Linked DNA regions of Callithrix jacchus. The protein of the gene in region 2 interacts with the protein of the main gene of each other region in a pairwise test. Links are inferred from orthologs where the notes say so. Each region holds a gene or a part of one and is shown on either strand. Other genes may lie near its edges. The genes, in order: FXR2, AP2M1 and TGOLN2.

The links.
Region 1: the proteins of AP2M1 (region 2) and FXR2 interact in binary tests that used the Homo sapiens proteins (3 or more experiments, as listed by UniProt). The link is inferred for Callithrix jacchus from reciprocal best matches to the Homo sapiens genes AP2M1 and FXR2.
Region 3: the proteins of AP2M1 (region 2) and TGOLN2 interact in a two-hybrid assay, tested with the Homo sapiens proteins (2 studies listed by BioGRID). The link is inferred for Callithrix jacchus from reciprocal best matches to the Homo sapiens genes AP2M1 and TGOLN2.

Annotation. Positions count from the first base shown.
Region 1 is NC_133506.1:74,096,453-74,101,655, reverse strand, and holds part of FXR2 (RNA-binding protein FXR2), read left to right. Parts: intron 1-612; coding exon 613-706; intron 707-2,127; coding exon 2,128-2,244; intron 2,245-5,203. UniProt on the Homo sapiens protein: mRNA-binding protein that acts as a regulator of mRNAs translation and/or stability, and which is required for adult hippocampal neurogenesis. Specifically binds to AU-rich elements (AREs) in the 3'-UTR of target mRNAs.
Region 2 is NC_133516.1:13,158,506-13,164,142, forward strand, and holds the start of AP2M1 (AP-2 complex subunit mu), read left to right. Parts: upstream 1-1,739; 5' UTR 1,740-1,844; intron 1,845-3,811; 5' UTR 3,812-3,854; coding exon 3,855-3,928; intron 3,929-5,637.
Region 3 is NC_133515.1:27,701,381-27,707,312, forward strand, and holds the start of TGOLN2 (trans-Golgi network integral membrane protein 2), read left to right. Parts: upstream 1-2,556; 5' UTR 2,557-2,583; coding exon 2,584-2,629; intron 2,630-2,845; coding exon 2,846-4,209; intron 4,210-5,680; coding exon 5,681-5,766; intron 5,767-5,932. UniProt on the Homo sapiens protein: May be involved in regulating membrane traffic to and from trans-Golgi network.

The DNA.
Region 1 (5,203 bases), on a different chromosome or scaffold from region 2:
GTTCCCCTGGCCCTCTAGAACCCTTCTTGCTAAGAAGACACTCAGTTCCTTTATTTTTCCATCCTTGTTCTTTAACTGTGGTCCCTCTTTTTTTTTTTTTTTGAGACGGAGTTTCGCTCTTGTTACCCAGGCTGGAGTGCAATGGCGCGATCTCGGCTCACCGCAACCTCCGCCTCCTGAGTTCAGGCAATTCTCCTGCCTCAGCCTCCTGAGTAGCTGGGATTACAGGCACGCACCACCATGCCCAGCTAATTTTTTGTATTTTTAGTAGAGATGGGGTTTCATCATGTTGACCAGGATGGTCTCGATCTCTTGACCTCGTGATCCACCCGCCTCAGCCTCCCAAAGTGCTGGGATTACAGACTAGAGCCACCACGCCTGGCCCCTCTTCTTTTCTGAGCCCTGCTCTTTCTTCTCTGAATTTTTTTTTTTTAAATAGAGACAGGGTCTCACTATGTTGCCCATGCTAGTCTTAAACTTGTGGCCTTAAGTGATCATCCTGCCCTAGCCTCCCAAAGTGCTAGGATTATAGGCTCAAGCCACCATGCCCAACCTCCCCTGAATTCTTCACTCTTCTGCATTCTGCCCTCTGAGTACTTTTTTTCTCTGCAGCTGCTCCAATGAAAACGTCCATAAAGAGTTCAAGAAAGCCCTGGGAGCCAACTGCATCTTTCTCAACATCACAAATAGTGAGCTCTTCATTCTGGTGAGTTTATTCTGCCTGAATTTCTTTTCTTTTTTTCTTTTTTTTTTGAGACCAAGTCTCACTTTGTCACCCAGGCTGGAGTGTGGTGGCTCCATCTCTGTTCACTGCAACCTCTGCTGCCCTGGTTCAAGTGATTCTCCTGCCTCAGTCTCCCAAGTAGCTGGGATTACAGGCTCCTGCCACTGTGCCCAGATAATTTTTGTATTTTTAGTAGAGATGGGTTTTCACCATCTTGGCCAGGCTGTTCTTGAACTCCTGACCTCATGATCCACCCGCCAAAGTGTTGGGATTACAGGTGTGAGCCACCTCGCCCAGCCTATTTTGCCTGAATTTCACACAAGCCCTTTGAACATTTTTTCCCCCTTTTAACCCCTATGCAGAAAGGGAAGGGCTTAAATGTGCTTACATTTATTTGTCAGAGAGGACTTTATTTTTCCTGATTCCTAGAGGCCCAGGTAGCCTTACCTTTCTTTAGTTTTCCTCATGTATGAGCTTTTTTAAAAACATGATAATCCTGTTGCCATCTGGGTTGGGGAACCTCTCTTGATATTTGGACTTTCAAAAAGTATATAGCTCTCACCTTACAGTTGCTCCTTGCTTTCTATTTTTATTTTTATTTTACTTATTTATTTATACATTTTTTGAGATGACGTTTCGCTGTTGTTGCCCAGGCTGGAGTGCAGTGGTGCGATCTCAGCTCACCGCGACTTCTGCCTCCCGGGTTCAAGAGATTCTCCTGTCTCAACCTCCCAAGTAGCTGGGATTACAGGCATATGCCACCATGCCTGGCTAATTTTGTATTTTTAGTAGAGACGGGGTTTCTCCATGTTGGTCAGGCTGGTCTTGAGCTCCTGACCTCAGGTAATCTGTCTGCTTCTGCCTCCCAAAGTGCTTGGATTATAAGCGTGAGCCACTGCACCTGTCCTGCTCTTTGTTTTCTCTCTAAAACCACTTTCCTTTGGTACCCCGATAATGAGCCTTTGTGGGACTCCCCCTTCCTAGCTTCATTTCTTTTTGTTTTGTTTTGTGACAGAGTCTTGCCCTGTCATCCAGGCTGGAGTGCAATGGCATATTCTCTCAGCTCACTGCAACCTCTGCCTCCCGGGTTTAAGCGATTCTCCTGCCTCAGCCTCCTAAGCAGCTGGGATTACAGGCCCATGGCACTACACCTTGCTAATTTTTGTATTTTTAGTAGAGTTGGGGTTTCACCATGTTGGTCAGGCTGGTCTCAGACTCCTGACCTTGTGATCTACCTGCGTTTGTCTCCAAAGTGCTGGGATTACAGGCGTGCGCCACTGCGCCTGGCCTCCTAGTTTAATTTCTTAACCCTTTTCCAGGGATTTAGGACTGATTCCTGGTCCCTGCCTCTCCTGCAGTATTCCAAGCCAGTTTTCGTGACTTTCCCATTGGTTTCCTCCTAGTCAACCACAGAAGCCCCTGTGAAGCGGGCATCTCTGCTGGGTGATATGCATTTCCGAAGCCTGCGCACCAAACTATTACTAATGTCCCGCAATGAAGAAGCTACCAAGCACCTAGAGGTAATTGTTAGCTCCTTTTCCTCCTGCTGAAGGGTATTGTCTTCCTCTCTTCCTACCCTGTCTTCCACCCATGCTCTTGTGTTTACAGGATAAAGAGTTTTTTACTGGGCAATTAAACGTGGGTCAGCTATTTTATCTCAGACTCCTCCAGATGACAGAGCTCTGTCATGTCATAGTGAAATTATTTTCAAATTTCTTTTAGCCAAATTATTTTTTTAAGACAGAGTCTTGCTGTGTTGCCTAGGCTGGAGTGCAATCTTGGCTCACTGCAACCTCCACCTTCCGGGTTTAAGCTGTTCTCATGCCTCAGCCTTCTGAGTTGCTGGGATTACAGGCGTGGACCACCGTACTCTGCTAAGTTTTATGTTTTTAGAGGAGATGGGGTTTCTCCATGTTACCCATGCTGGTCTCAAACTCCTGGCCTCATGTGATTCACCCATCTTGTCCTCCCAAAGTGCTAGGATTACAGGCGTGAGCGCCACACCTGGCCGATGGTACCCTCTTCGATGAAGTGAAATGTTACTTGGAAGCACAGTGCATAAAATGAATCAGAGCAGCTCTGTCTAAAAGTGGAAAGGGGGCATGACTCTTACTTCTACCAATACCCCTAAATCACCTCTGGAAACCAAACTGCTCTGCAGGATATATTTGAGAACCATTTGGTTTAAAAAAAAAAAAAAAAAAAGAAATATGAATGTCATTTGAATATGAGGTAGACATTTAAAAAAGAGAGAGAACTAGCCGGGCGCGGTGGCTCACACCTGTAATCCCAGCACTTTGGGAGGCCGAGGCGGGTGGATCATGAGGTCAAGAGATCGACACCATCCTGGTCAGCGTGGTGAAACCCCGTCTCTACTAAAAATACAAAAAATTACTTGGGCATGGTGGCGCTTGCCTGTAATCCCAGCTACTCAGGAGGCTGAGGCAGGAGAATTGCCTGAATCCAGGAGGCGGAGGTTGCGGTGAGCCGAGATCGCGCCATTGCACTCCAGCCTGGGTAACAAGAGCGAAACTCCGTCTCAAAAAAAAAAAAGAGAGAGAACCATTTGGACAATGGGAAACCACTGGACTTGGAATGCTAAGTCTTGTCATATAATTGTCTTTTGGCAAATACATTTCATTACACTGAGATTTATCTTCTTCCTCTGTGACAGTGAGGTCAGTAGGCTAGATTGTTTCTTTTTAAAAAATTTTATATTTAATTTTTTTCCTATTGGTTCATTCTCACAACTTAATAGATAAACTAGAACATTTCTTTTTTTCATTTTTTTTTTTTTAAGATGGAGTTTCTCTCTTGTTGCCCAGGCTGGAATGCAGTGGTGCAATCTCGGCTCACTGTTGGAACCTCTGCCTCCTGGGTTCAAGCCATTCTCCTGCCTCAGACTCCCAAGTAGCTGGGGTTACAGGCGTGTACCACCACACCCTGCTAATTTTTGTGTTTTTTTAGTGGGGACAAGGTTTTGCCACATTGGCCAAGCTGGTCTCAAACTCCTGACCTCAGGTGATCTGCCCACCTTGGCCTCCCAAAGTGCTGGCATTATAGGAGTGAACGACTGCTCCCCGCCTCATTTTTTTCCCCTTTGAGACAGGGTCTCACTCCCATTACCCAAGCTGGAGTAACATGGCTCATTGCAGACTTGACTTCCTAGGTTCAGGTGATTCTCCCACCTCTCCCTCCATAGTAGTTGGGATTACATGTGTGCGCCACCATGCCCAGCAATTTTTTTTTTATTTTTAGAGGGAGTTTCACTCTGTTGCCCAGACTGGAGTGCAGTGGCACAATCTTGGCTCACTGCAACCTTTGCCTCCCCGGTTCTAGTGATTCTCCTGCCTCAGCCTACCAAGTAGCTGGAGTTACAGGTGTCAAGCACCACACCCAGCTAATTTATATATATATATATATATATATATATATATATATATATATTTTTTTTTTTTTTTTTTTTAAATTTTTATTATCATTATTTTTTATTTTAAAGACAGAGTTTCACCCTGTTAGCCAGGATGGTCTTGATCTCCTGACCTTGTGATCTGCCCGTCTTGGCCTCCCAAAGTGCTGGGATTACAGGCTTAAGCCACCACGCCTGGTAATTTTTGTATTTTTAGTAGAGATAGGGTTTCACCATGTTTTCCAGGCTGGTCTCAAGGTCCCGACCTCAAGTGATCTGCACCTTGGCCTCCCAAAGTGCTGAGATTATTGGCATGAGCCTCCGTGCCCAGCCTTGCTGTGTTGCCCAGGCTGAATGTAGTGGCATGATCTTGGCTCACTGCAACCTCCGCCTCCTGAGTTCAAGCAATTCTCCCGCCTTAGCCTCCCAAGTAGCTGGGATTACAGGCACCTGCAACCATGCCCGTCTAGTTTTTGTATTTTTAATAGAGACAGGGTTTCACTATGTTGGCCAGGCTGGTCTCACACTGCTGACCTCAGGTGATCCACCACCTCCCAGAGTGCTAGGATTACATGCGTGAGCCACCGCACCTGGCCAGTATTTTGTATTTTTAATAGATATGCGATTTCGCCATATTGCCCAGGCTGGTCTTGAACTTCTAGGCTCACTCTTGAACTTCTAGGCTCACTGCTAGAATTACAGGTGTGAGCCACCACACCCAGCCTAAATATTTCTTTTTTAGGCAGGGGTAGTGGCTCACACCTATAATCCCAGCACTTGAGTGCTTTGGGAGGCCGAGGTGGGTGAATCACCTGAGGTTGGGAGTTCGAGACCAGCCTGGCCAGCATGGTGAAACCCCATCTTTACTAAAAAGATAAAAATTAATTAATGGGGCATAGTGGCGGATGCCTATAATTCCAGCTACTCGTGAGGTTGAGGCAGGAGAATTGCTTGAACCCAGGAAGTGAAGGTTGTGGTGAGCTGAGATTGCGCCATTTCATTACAGCCTGGGTAACAAGAGAAAAACTCAATCTCACAAAAAAAAAAAAGAATTTTTACTTTTTTATTTT
Region 2 (5,637 bases):
AGCTCCAACCCCAACTTCCCCCAGACTTCAGATCTGTATTAGTGTTACCTACTGGACATCTCTGGGCATTTCCATATGGACTCACGTGCCCAACCAAGTATGTTTCTCCTGAATTCCTGTCCTGGTTACCTTCATCACAATCTACATAGGCTCACCAGCTAGAAACATTTATGAGCTTACATTCCTTCTTCCCATATCTTACTCATCAGCACATCATATCCATTTCACTCCAACAATCTTTCTTGAATTTTCCCTCCCTCTCCTCTCTGTCTCTACTTTAATTCACTGGAGCATGGGATTTGGAGTCAGGTTGTTTTGGGTTTGAATTCCAGCTCTACTATTTTTGGTTGTGTGATAGGAGAGTTATTTAACCTCTCTGAGCCTCAGTTCCCTCGTATGTAAAATGATGATAATAATACCTACCTCACAGGGTTGTTGTGAGGATTTAAATTAGATATTGTACGAAAAGTGCCTAGCACAGTGCCTGGCACACAGTAGAGTAGGTGCTCAATAAATGGTAGCTATTATTATTATTATTTTATCATTATTATTTACTCTGGTAGCAGTTTAGGGTATTTTTGGAAGATAAAGCTTTTTGCAGAGGTAGGAGTCTTGAAGCCTTGAGTGCTGGTTCAAAAATTAGAAATGCCAATATTCAGTCATTTAATGACTTCAGGCTGTGACTACGATTTGGAGGAGGTCAGATCTTCATCCAGCCACATCGTGGCATCTGGCTGGAGGCTGTGAAGGACTGTAACATTTGCAACCAGATCTGCCCTTTCTTGCCCTTCCTTCTTCCCATGACAGGTGCAGTCCTGCCCAAGGAAGGCAGCAGTTTCTCTCTGCCCACAGAAAGAGAGGAGCCAACAGATCTTCTTCAGATTCTGCAAGAACCAAGCAAGCCCTTCATGTTTGAGGGTTGGCTCTATCTCCTCAGCTTGGATGTAAAGCTTATGTTTATCAAAGAGGAGATTTCAAATCCCATGTCCAACTAAATTCAACTCTTTTAACATCTTTTGAGCAGCATATATGCCTATCACTAGAAGTCATAACAATCGTATAGCTAAGGAGAACATTGGCCCGTTCATGAAAAGCTTTAGCTGACCTCGAGGAAGAGTGTACAGTCATGGACATATTTGTGAAAAGCTTTAGTTTCTTCCCAAGTAGTCGCCTCCTTCCTCCCCGCTCTTCTCCTTGGGTCTTGAATCCCTTGGAAAAAGCTCATGTCTGGAACAAATGTCTGAGAAAAGCTTGGGAGAATCAGAGGTACAGTTAGAAAGCAGTAAATTCGGCACAAACACTTCTGCCAAGTTGCATTTATTTGTGTGTAAAGTGAGGACAGCCAGTCTTGGAACTCTGGAGACAGAAAAGGCCTACAGCAATCCGAGGTTTAACAGATGTGCTTCTACAAACGGCATTAATATTCCAAAGCTCTCTGAAACAAATAGAAACAGGAAGAAGTGCAGAGACTACAATTCCCAGAGTGCTCAGTGAAAAAAAAATAAGGTGGGTGGAGCGGTGTATGCTGGACTGTGTATTTCTGGTAGGGCCGACTAAGGCCACGCCTATCTCTCCCCCTGAGGCGGGGACGGTTTCTCGAAGGCCGTCGGTAGTTGTGGTTTTGCTAAACGTAGAGCGCTTCAAATCGCTAGCAAGGAGGCACCGAAGCCTGACGGGATTTGTAGTCAGCGCGGGAGGCGGGCGCGCAAGCGCAGCCGGCTCCGGGGCGGGGCCGCGGCACTGCGGTGAAAGCCCAGGCAGCGGGCAGACGAGCAGGGGGCGGGCGGACATCTTGGGATTCCGAGAGTGGCCAGGCCGGCAGAGCATAGGGCCGCGGACACCAGGTGAGCCGGGCATCTGGCCTTATGGGTTGGGGGAGAACGCCGCGGGTCGTCTGTCCCGCCGCCCAGCTTTGCCTGCCCTGCACTGAGCTGGGAGAAAAGCTGCCCACACCCGGGAGTGGCTTCAGCCTTCAGACCCGGGAGCGAGCGGACGGTGGGGCGGGGGCGCCCAGGGCGCGGTTGCAGGGCTGGCGGGGAGCGGCGCCCTCCACCTGACCCGCCTGGCGACTCCCATGAGGGAGACCGCCTGGAATCCTCCCAGAGCAGGAACACTGCGCAGCGCCCCCTCCCTAGGATCCTGCCAGCCCCCTGGCCCTCCGCGCAAGGACAATTTTCCCGTCTCGTAGGACAGTGACACCCCCTTGTGCCGCCGCCTTGCACCGTGACAAGTCTCACACCATGCAGCGCCCCCTCCTCTGAGTTCAGTGACACCCCTTGGCTCTTCCTTAGACCTGTGACAGCCCCCGCACCCCGTGGCACCATTTTTTCCCACGATGCCCTCCCCAAGGCGAAAAGCCCACGACCCCCTCATTACTCTGCAGCGGAATCCCAGACAGGTTCTGTCAGCCCCAGCTTGTTCACCACTGTCAATCTCCCCCTGCCGGCTTTTCCTTCTTAAAGCCTTGACCTTTTCCATATAGGGAACTCTTACCTTTAGGTGCACCCCACCAGCCCAGTTTGCTGCTGTGAGCTCACCTGGGGACTCTGCCTGGCTGTCGCTGCAGGTCTTTCCCCTTAACTAAATGTTCCATTTCTGCCCAAGGCCCCACCTCCGGCTCTCCGGTGCCCTGCGCTACCTACCACCCGGTACCTGTGGACTTGGTTCCTTGCCCCAGGCTCTACCTCCATTTTGCATCTCCTTTCCTAGGCTGTTTGGAACTGAGGCATGGGATGAGTCTACCACCTTGAGAGAGCGCTCACCCCTCTGGAAGACCTTGACAGCCACAGGAAAAGGCCTTATTTTCCAGTTTGGAAAAGTCTGCTAAAGTACTTCCTGTGAAATTAATACCAGGGCTAATCCAGGAAATCTGAAACCAAACTAGCGCCTTTTCTCAAACAATTTAAATTAATTTGACCCAAATAATTTGGATAATTCAGGCATTCTGACATCCCTGGCTCTTGCTTAGAGGTACCCAGGCCAGCAGTGAGTTACTAGATGGGCCTGGATCACGATTTCGGATGGAAGGATTTCTTAATTTTATGAGCTTGCACCACCCCCACCCCCACCGCAGTCCTCATTTTTATTGCATTCCAGAGCTTTTTGAAAGGGGAGCGGTGGTCAGAGGTAACTGTGATAGTAGCTTGGGTGATGGAAGTGTAGTCTGCCAGCACTGGACCTTCCTCCTTTGCCCTTCGCCTGCTTATTCCACTGCCAGGAAGAAGAGGTTAAGCCACACTCGCGGGTCGACAGTAGGGCCTAAGGGCTCCCTTCTCTTCTCCTCCTCACACCCTTTCCTGGAATGTGAGTGCCGGAGGTTCAGGCCCTGCGACCTTCTCTGAAGGGTAGTGGAGCCCTACCCGAGCGACTGGATGCTCTAAAGGTTAGGCCTGGGGGCTCCAGGCCTGAACCAGCTGTCGTAATTCCTATTGCCATTCCTGCAGCGGCAGGCAGGCAGGCCTTAGTGACTCACGGGCTGGAGCCTGAGACTGCACAGGAGGTGGCCGAAAAGGATCATTTCTGAGCTCAGTGCTCAGGAGAGGGGGCGGGGGTTACTGATGCTCAGCCCCAGGAAAGGGAGGGTCAAAATGGCCTTAGAGTCCTGGGCCTAACCTCTCTCCTTTTCTTTCTCCCATCCAGTGTGGAATAAACAGGAACTGGAGCCTGGCTGAGGGGAGGGGCCTGTCTGGGAGGGCTGCAGGGTCACTTGCTAGAGGGTTGAGTCAGGAAAAAGGCTCCAGTGACCTGCACAGCTCCACAGGGGATGTTGGCAGGGGTTCTGAGGCCTTTTACCCGCCCCTGCCTATCCTAGGTCTGTTCTCAGAGCGATGGGCCTCGGAGACTGATCTGCCGCCATGATTGGAGGCTTATTCATCTATAATCACAAGGGGGAGGTGCTCATCTCCCGAGTCTACCGAGATGACATCGGGTGAGTCCCCTGGCCCAGCCAGCTGTGCCCCCCTTCGCCCCCCCTCCAGCCCCAGCATGCAGGATTAGGTCTGTTCCCACCAGAGGCTTGACTTGGGCCACTCCGACTCCTGGCTGCATCCTGGAAGCCCAGCTAGTTAGCCTGGCTCCCATTAGGTCTGGTGGTATTGGCCTGGCAGGCAGCCTGCAGGCCACAAGGTGGGACCTGTGGAATGGCAAGGTCCCACAGCCTGAGGAACTCCTGCCCTTCCTGCATCCCGTTTCTTTAGGCCTGGGTGCTCTGGGTGCTGAAGATGAGTGCTTTTGCCCAGGCTACTTAATTCCTTCCTTGAGGAGGAGGGAGAAGTGCCTCCAGTGGGTGGAGTTAGTGGCCAGGCTGGAGGTCCTAATCCATCTAAGCCTTGCTCTCAGAAGCCCTTCTCATGTCAAGCGCCTTCACTGGATTCTATTGAAAGCCTCTCCAGGCTGCCGAATCCTCTCAGGCTTCCTTTCTCAGGAGGAGTCATGCTGCTGACTCAGCTGTCTTCAGTTCCTCTGGGCCATTCCTGGGGGAGATGCTGGGAGGAAGCGTGAGGCACTCTCCGGGTCATGGAGGGAGGGCAGGGAGGCCATGCTGCCGTCCCTGGCCTATCAGACGGCCATGCTGCCGTCCCTGGCCTATCAGACGGCCATGCTGCCATCCCTGGACGGCTCCATATGCTGGGCCCCTTAGACCTTCTCACAGCCACAGCCTGCCTTCTCATTCTGTGCCCCCTGGACACCCTCGTTCTTTCCGACTGAGGGGACCTAGCTAGCCTTCGAGGCACTAAGGAGATGAGGCTCCTCTGGTTCCTGCTGCCTGTTGTTCTTCCCCAGAGAGCTGGAGATAAAGTCACAGAATGGGCCTGTTGCTGTGCCTCTCACTTGACTCCCTGGGTGTTGGGCTGGCCTGGCCTTTGAGGCTGTTTGTCTGTTGGCTGGTGGAGTGCCATGGGCTAGAGCTGCAGCTATGGCAAGGCCTGGCCTGGCTGAACCTGGCTGGCTACACCCCACCCCAGCCCCTCCTGCCTTGGATGGACTGGGCAAGCCAAGGCTGATCATGCGCCGCCTTGCCTGTCCCGTCTGCCTCTGCCTCACAGTGTGTGCTCCCTCCCGGTGTGTTGTGTGTCTAACCCTCTCTCTCGTTGCTGTCACTCTCCTCTTCTTGCTGGCGTCATTTCTCTCATCCCATCTCATTGGCTGCCGTAGCAATAGGTAAGCGGCCTCTCAAGCTGCTGCCCAGGTACAGGTGGGGGGGCCCTGCCCCCATCATTGTTTTCCTGCATCCTTTTCCATTCCCTGAACTTGCTCTGGAGTTGGATCCTGGCAAGAATGGGTTGCACAGTTCCACAGCCCCTTGGTACCTCTCCCTCCTTCGTGACTTCTGAAGTCATGCTGGCTTTGTCTAACTTCTGGAGGAGCTGGCCTTCCCCACTGCTGGGACACTAGCGGGAGGACTGGAGAAGAAGTGTCTCCTCCTGTCCTGGGCCTGGGAGCTTACGGGGAAGCTAGAGAAAGCTGGGAAACTGGGCCAGCCCTGGGAGTCAGGACTGCCTGTCTCTAAACCTGATGAACTTCACGTTATTAAGGTTACGTCGGCCTTGATACCTGACTTCCCTATTTCTCGGGGGCTGCAGACACCAGCCCCGCTCCGGCCCGCTCCCCATGCCTCCACGGGCAGTCATGAGAAGG
Region 3 (5,932 bases), on a different chromosome or scaffold from region 2:
TTCTTTCTGGCAGTTCTTGGAATGTGCATGCACGCACACATATTTGTATAGATATTTAATATTTATGTAACCCACTAGATTACATGCTCCATGAAGTTAATACCTACTTTAAAAATTCAATATAACATAGTTGTACATATTTATGGGGTACATGTGGCATTTTTATACAGGTATACAATATGTAATGACCAAATCAGGGTAACTGGAATATATATCACCTCAAACATTTATGTATTCTTTGTGTTGGGAACATTACGATTCTTCTATTTTGAAATATATAATGTTATTGTTAACTATAATTTTCCTACTGTAGTATTGACTCCAGAGCTTACTCTTCTTGTGTATCTGTATTTTTGTACCCACTAACCAACTTCTCTTTATCGTCCCTCTCCTCCTTCCCTTCTCAGCCTCTGGTAACGACCATTGTACTCTCTATTTCCATGAGATCCACCAGTCTCAACTACTTGCAAGGCTGAGGTGGGAGACCACTTGGGCCCAGGAAACAGAGATTGCAGTGAGCTGAGATTGTGCCACTGCACTCAAGCCTAGGTGGTAGAGCGAGATCCTGTCTCAAAAAAAAAGAAAAGAAAAGCGATGGTCTCTTGCCATGTTGCCCAGGCTGGTCTGGAACTTCTGGGCTCAGGTGATCCTCCTGTCTCTGTCTCCCAAAGTACTGAGATTACAGAAGTAGATATCTCTTCGATATACTTATTTCCTTTCTTTTGGATATATATCCAGCAGTGGGAATACTGGATCATATGGCAGTTCTATTTTTAGTTTTTTGAGAAACTCTATGTGCTGTTTTCCTTTATTTTTTTATAGAGACAGGGTCTTGCTATGTTGCCCAGGCTGATCTCGAACTCCTGGGCTCAAGCCATCTGCCTGCCTCAGCCTCCCAAGGTGCTGGGACTACAGGTGTGAGCCTCTATGCTCTGCTAATACTGTATTCCATAATGGCTATACTAATCTACATTCCCGCCAACAGGATATGAGCATTCCCTTCTTCTCATCCTTGTCAGTATTTCGTTTTTTTTTTTTTTTTGATAACAGCCATTCTAACTGGGGCTGAGATGATCTCTTATTGTGGTTTGGATTTGCATTTCCCTGATGATTAGTGATAATGAGCATTTTAAAATATACCTGTTGGCCATTTGTATGTCATTTTTTGAGATATATCTATTCAGCAGGTATTTGGCTCATTTCTTTTTCTTTTTTTGAGATGGGGTCTCACTCTGTTGCATAGGCTGGAGTGCCTTGGTAAGATCTTGGCTCACTCACTGCAACCTCTGCCTCCCAGGTTCAAGCAATTCTCTCATCCTCAGCCTGCTGAGTAGCTGGGATCACATGCACAGGTCACCATGCCTGGCTAAATGTTTTGTTTTTGTATTTTCGGTAGACACGGGGTTTCATCATGTTGCCCCGGCTAGTGCCCATTTTTTAATCAGATTTTTTTTTCCTTTAGTTTCTTATATATAGTTTCTCCCATTGCATAGGTGGGTTCTTTGTTTCCTTTGCTGTGCAGAAGCTTTTTAACTTGATGCAATCCCATTTTAAGACCTATCATTTCTTAAATCATTGTCTTCAAAGCACCTAACCTTGCTAACGTTCATAAGGTGATTTCAAGCATTTAATGTATAAACATAACAGTAACTGTAAACTGTGGGATATAAAACTATTTACCTGATTATCCCAATATGCGGAGAAAATAAATATGTATAGAAAAAAAGAGAAACATACTAAGAAGAGAAAGTACTTTTAACAAAACTAGACGGAAACATAATAAACTAATGTAAGTGGTAACCTGTGGACGAGTAGGGAGGAAGACTTTTCTAAAGTCTATTTACTTTAAAATCTGGTTTTGATTTCTGAAACATTATATTAACTAATCAAAACATTAAATGTTTACAGGGCAGACAATACACTAAAACATTAATAGTGATTATCCCAGAAGGGTGGGAGTCAGATTTTGTTTTCTGCTTCTCTACATTTACGATCGGAATAAAGGACACGTTTTGGTAAAGATGTCTGGTGACCTCAGAGGACTCAGTCTCCGTGGAGTCGGGAAGGAGGACGGCTGGGATGCGAAGGCAACGCTTTGTAGGTAATCAAACGGATTTGTTCCCACATGGGAGCGACCAGAGCACAGCATGTTTGTGTACTGCGAGGAGGGAACCACGAAAAAGGCAGAGCTTAGAAACGCAAGCACTGGCTGGTGGTGGCCAAGAGGAGCCTGGCGCCAGCGACCTCACTCCCGCGGCCAGTGGGCGAGGCGAAGGAGCTCCTGCTCTGCCTGTAAGGTCTAGGAAGTACGAGGCGGAGAGGACGAAAAACGGAGAGCCAGTCTGTTGTGGCTGTGGTGAAGAGAAACCAGGAAGATAAAGCTCGCTCTCCACTCGGGGACCGTAAGCGCAGCAACGAAAAGCGAACACACACAACAGCCGCAGCAGCTGCCCCCAGTCCCCGCCCCTTGACCTGGCGGAAGCGGGAGACGGAGAGGCGCGCGCAGCAGGGGCGGGGCTGGAGAGGGACTCCATCCGCGGATCTCGCGGGAGCGTTAGAGGACGGAAGCGCTATCTGAGCAGGATGCGGTTCGTGGTTGCGTTGGTCCTCCTGAGCATCTCAGCGGCGGGTAAGACCCTCCACCCCGCATCCCACTCTTGCCCCCAGCCTCCATTCTCACATGGGGCGGTCACCATCTAGGCTCGCTTCTTCCCTGCCCGACCCACCTCTCCGCTCGCCAGCGGCTCCCGCCCCACCCCACAATCCCCATTCGCCCACTGCCCCCGATCTCTTCCAGCTCTGAGGAGTTCCTTGTTCCGGCCTGCTAATTTGTTTTGTATTTCAGGAGCCGCTCCGCTCCCAGACTCCGAAACTGCCAAGAAAGAAGAAGCTGGAGTTCCTTCTACAGGAAGGGATTCCAACCACCCCACCTCGAGCCAGCTGCCGGGAGGCTCTACCAGGTCGGATCCGGAGCCGCAGACTCCAAAAGACAGCTCCAGCAAGTCGAGTTCCGGGGTGCAGACCCGAAAAGACAGCCCCAGCAGGTCAGGTGCGGACATACAGACCGCAGAACACGGCCCCAGCCAGTCGGGTGCGGACGGGCAGACCCCACAACACGGCCCCAGCCAGTCGGGTGCGGACGGGCAGACCCCACAACACGGCCCCAGCCAGTCGGGTGCGGACGGGCAGACCCCACAACACGGCCCCAGCCAGTCGGGTGCGGACGGGCAGACCTCACAACACGGCCCCAGCCAGTCGGGTGCGGACGGGCAGACCCCTGAACATGGCCCCAGCCAGTCGGGTGCGGACGGGCAGACCCCACAACACGGCCCCAACCAGTCGGATGCGGATGTGCAGACCCCACAACACGGCCCCAGCCAGTCGGGTGCGGACGTGCAGACCCCACAACACGGCCCCAGCCAGTCGGGTGCGGACGGGCAGACCCCAGAACACGGCCCCAGCCAGTCGGGTGCGGACGGGCAGACCCCTGAACACGGCACCAGCCAGTCGGGTGCGGACGGGCAGACGCCTGAACACGGCACCAGCCAGTCGGATGCGGATGTGCAGACCCCAAAACACGGTCCCAGCAAGTCGGGTGCGGAGGCGCAGACCCCAGAACTTGGCCCTGCCAAGTCGCGTGTGGATTCACAGGCCCCAAAAGACGGCTCTAGCAAGTCGGGTGCGGAGGACCAGACCCCAGAACACGGCAAGTCGGGTGTGGAGGAGCAGACCCCAAAAGACGGCTCTAGCAAGGTGGTTCCAGAGCAGTCTTACAGGAAAGACCCCGCCAAGCCCATCTCCAACCCCTCTGACAAGGAGCTCCCCAAGGCTAACACAAACCAGCTAGCTGACAAAGGGAAGCTTTCTCCGCATGCTTTCAGAACCAAATCTGGGGAGGACACTGACTTCATTTCTCCCCCTCAGGAGGAAGAAAGTAAGTCTTCAGAGCCTACTGAGGATGTGGAGCCCAAAGAGGCTGAAGATGATGATACAGGACCTGAGGAGGGCTCACCGCCCAAAGAAGAAAAAGAAAAGGTGTCCGGTTCTGCCTCCAGCGAGAACCGTGATGGGACACTTTTGGAGAAGGATGACCATTATAAGGACAGCTCTGAAAGTGTCAGCGCAGAGAGCAGCCACTTCTTTGCATATCTGGTGACTGCAGCCGTTCTTGTGGCTGTCCTCTATATCGCTTATCACAACAAGCGAAAGGTAAGTCGAAAGTGGCCTTCAGGAGGGGAGTGGGATTTCCTGCACTCTGGAAGCTTGGGTGTGGGTGGTTATCCCGTCACTTCTCTGCCCATGAGCGTTGGGGATTTTAAGACGAACTTCAGTTTTCCTCAGGCCCCGCTAGGCCTCTGTACTCTTGTTTGGTTAATTATGTTTTCAACCTGTCACCTGTCCTCTGAGTGTCCTCTGCTACTGCATTAGGAGCCAAGTTAGGACATTATTAGGATGTGGCATCTCCTCCTGTAACTTTGAATTTAGGCCCTTCACAGCCTCAGGGGACCTGAGTACTGGACAGTGAGAGCACATACCTTCCATCCTGTTTCCATTCCTGAGGCTGTGCGTCATTGCTAGCTTCCTTTCCCCACGTTCTGTCTTCCATCAGCAGTGACACAAAGAATGGTTTCTATTACTCGGTCTTTGATACCAGCAGCAAAGAGTCCAGGGACTTTTCTGCAATCAATAATAATTAGAAGAAAGGCCAGAAATTGCACAGACATGTACACCTTTTACTTTTTCAGCAGGGTTTGGTCTGTTTCTTAGCAACCACTCTAATGACAAAATTACTGGATTTCTTATTGAGCCCCCAAAATTTAGAAGATAGTTTCTGTAACCTGCTTAAAGTTGGGGAGTCCAATTAATGCTGGCCATGAGGCCTGTGGCTATAAAGAATAGAGGGGAAGACCTTTAGTGAAAATGGACATTCCTGGCCAGGTGCAGTTGCTCATGCTTGTAATCCCAGCACTTTGGGAGGCTGAGTTGGGAGAATTGCTTGAGCCCAGGAGTTTGAGACCAGCCTGGCCAACATAGCAAGAACTCATCTCTACACATAGTGAAAAATTTAGCCAGATGTAGTGGTGCACATGTGTCATCCCAGCTGGGAGTATGGCTTGACTGTGTGAGGTCAAGTCTTGAGTGGGCCGTGATTATGCCATTGCACTCCAGCCTGAGTGAGATCTTGTCTAGAAAAAAAAAAAAATGCATTTCTTTTTCTACCTCCAAGTGTTCATTATGCAGGGTAACCTTGGGTGTGAAATGAGAGTGATAAAGAGTATAGCTGTTGGTGTAGCAGCGTGGGGTGAAAGAGTACCTTTGTAGATAGGAAATTCTGATAATGATTTTTTTTAAAGGAATGTCCTATCCTGGATCCCTCTGGGAAGGAGTTGATAGATCTTTGACTATGTACCTTTGAGTAAATCATACAGACTCCCTCCACATGCTAGAGCTTGGACAGCTTTCTATTTGTTATTTCCTATTAAGCAATACAAAGGATTCTGATGTGATTAGCTTCTTTCTTAAAATTGCTGCAGTTTAAATAGACCTCTGTGAGTGTACTGGTCTTTCTGCAGTCAAGGTCATTAACAAATATACTACCAGGTGACTGCCTCTGATTTCAGAGGCTGAACTATGTCATTACAGAACCACCTGTTAATCATTTTCTTTTTCCTGTCCTTAGATCATTGCTTTTGTCCTGGAAGGAAAAAGATCTAAAGTCACCCGGCGGCCAAAGGCCAGTGACTACCAGCGTTTGGACCAGAAGGTAAGGAAGGAGGACCAGGTCCATGGGAGGGATAGGCAACCTCAGATGGACCCAGTAGTGGGCTTGCATTTGCCATGGCAGCAATGGCCAATTCTGGGGGTGCTGTTGCTGTTGCATTCTGCATTCGCCCTTTTTAGACCACAAACTAGAAATATCTATATACACGTA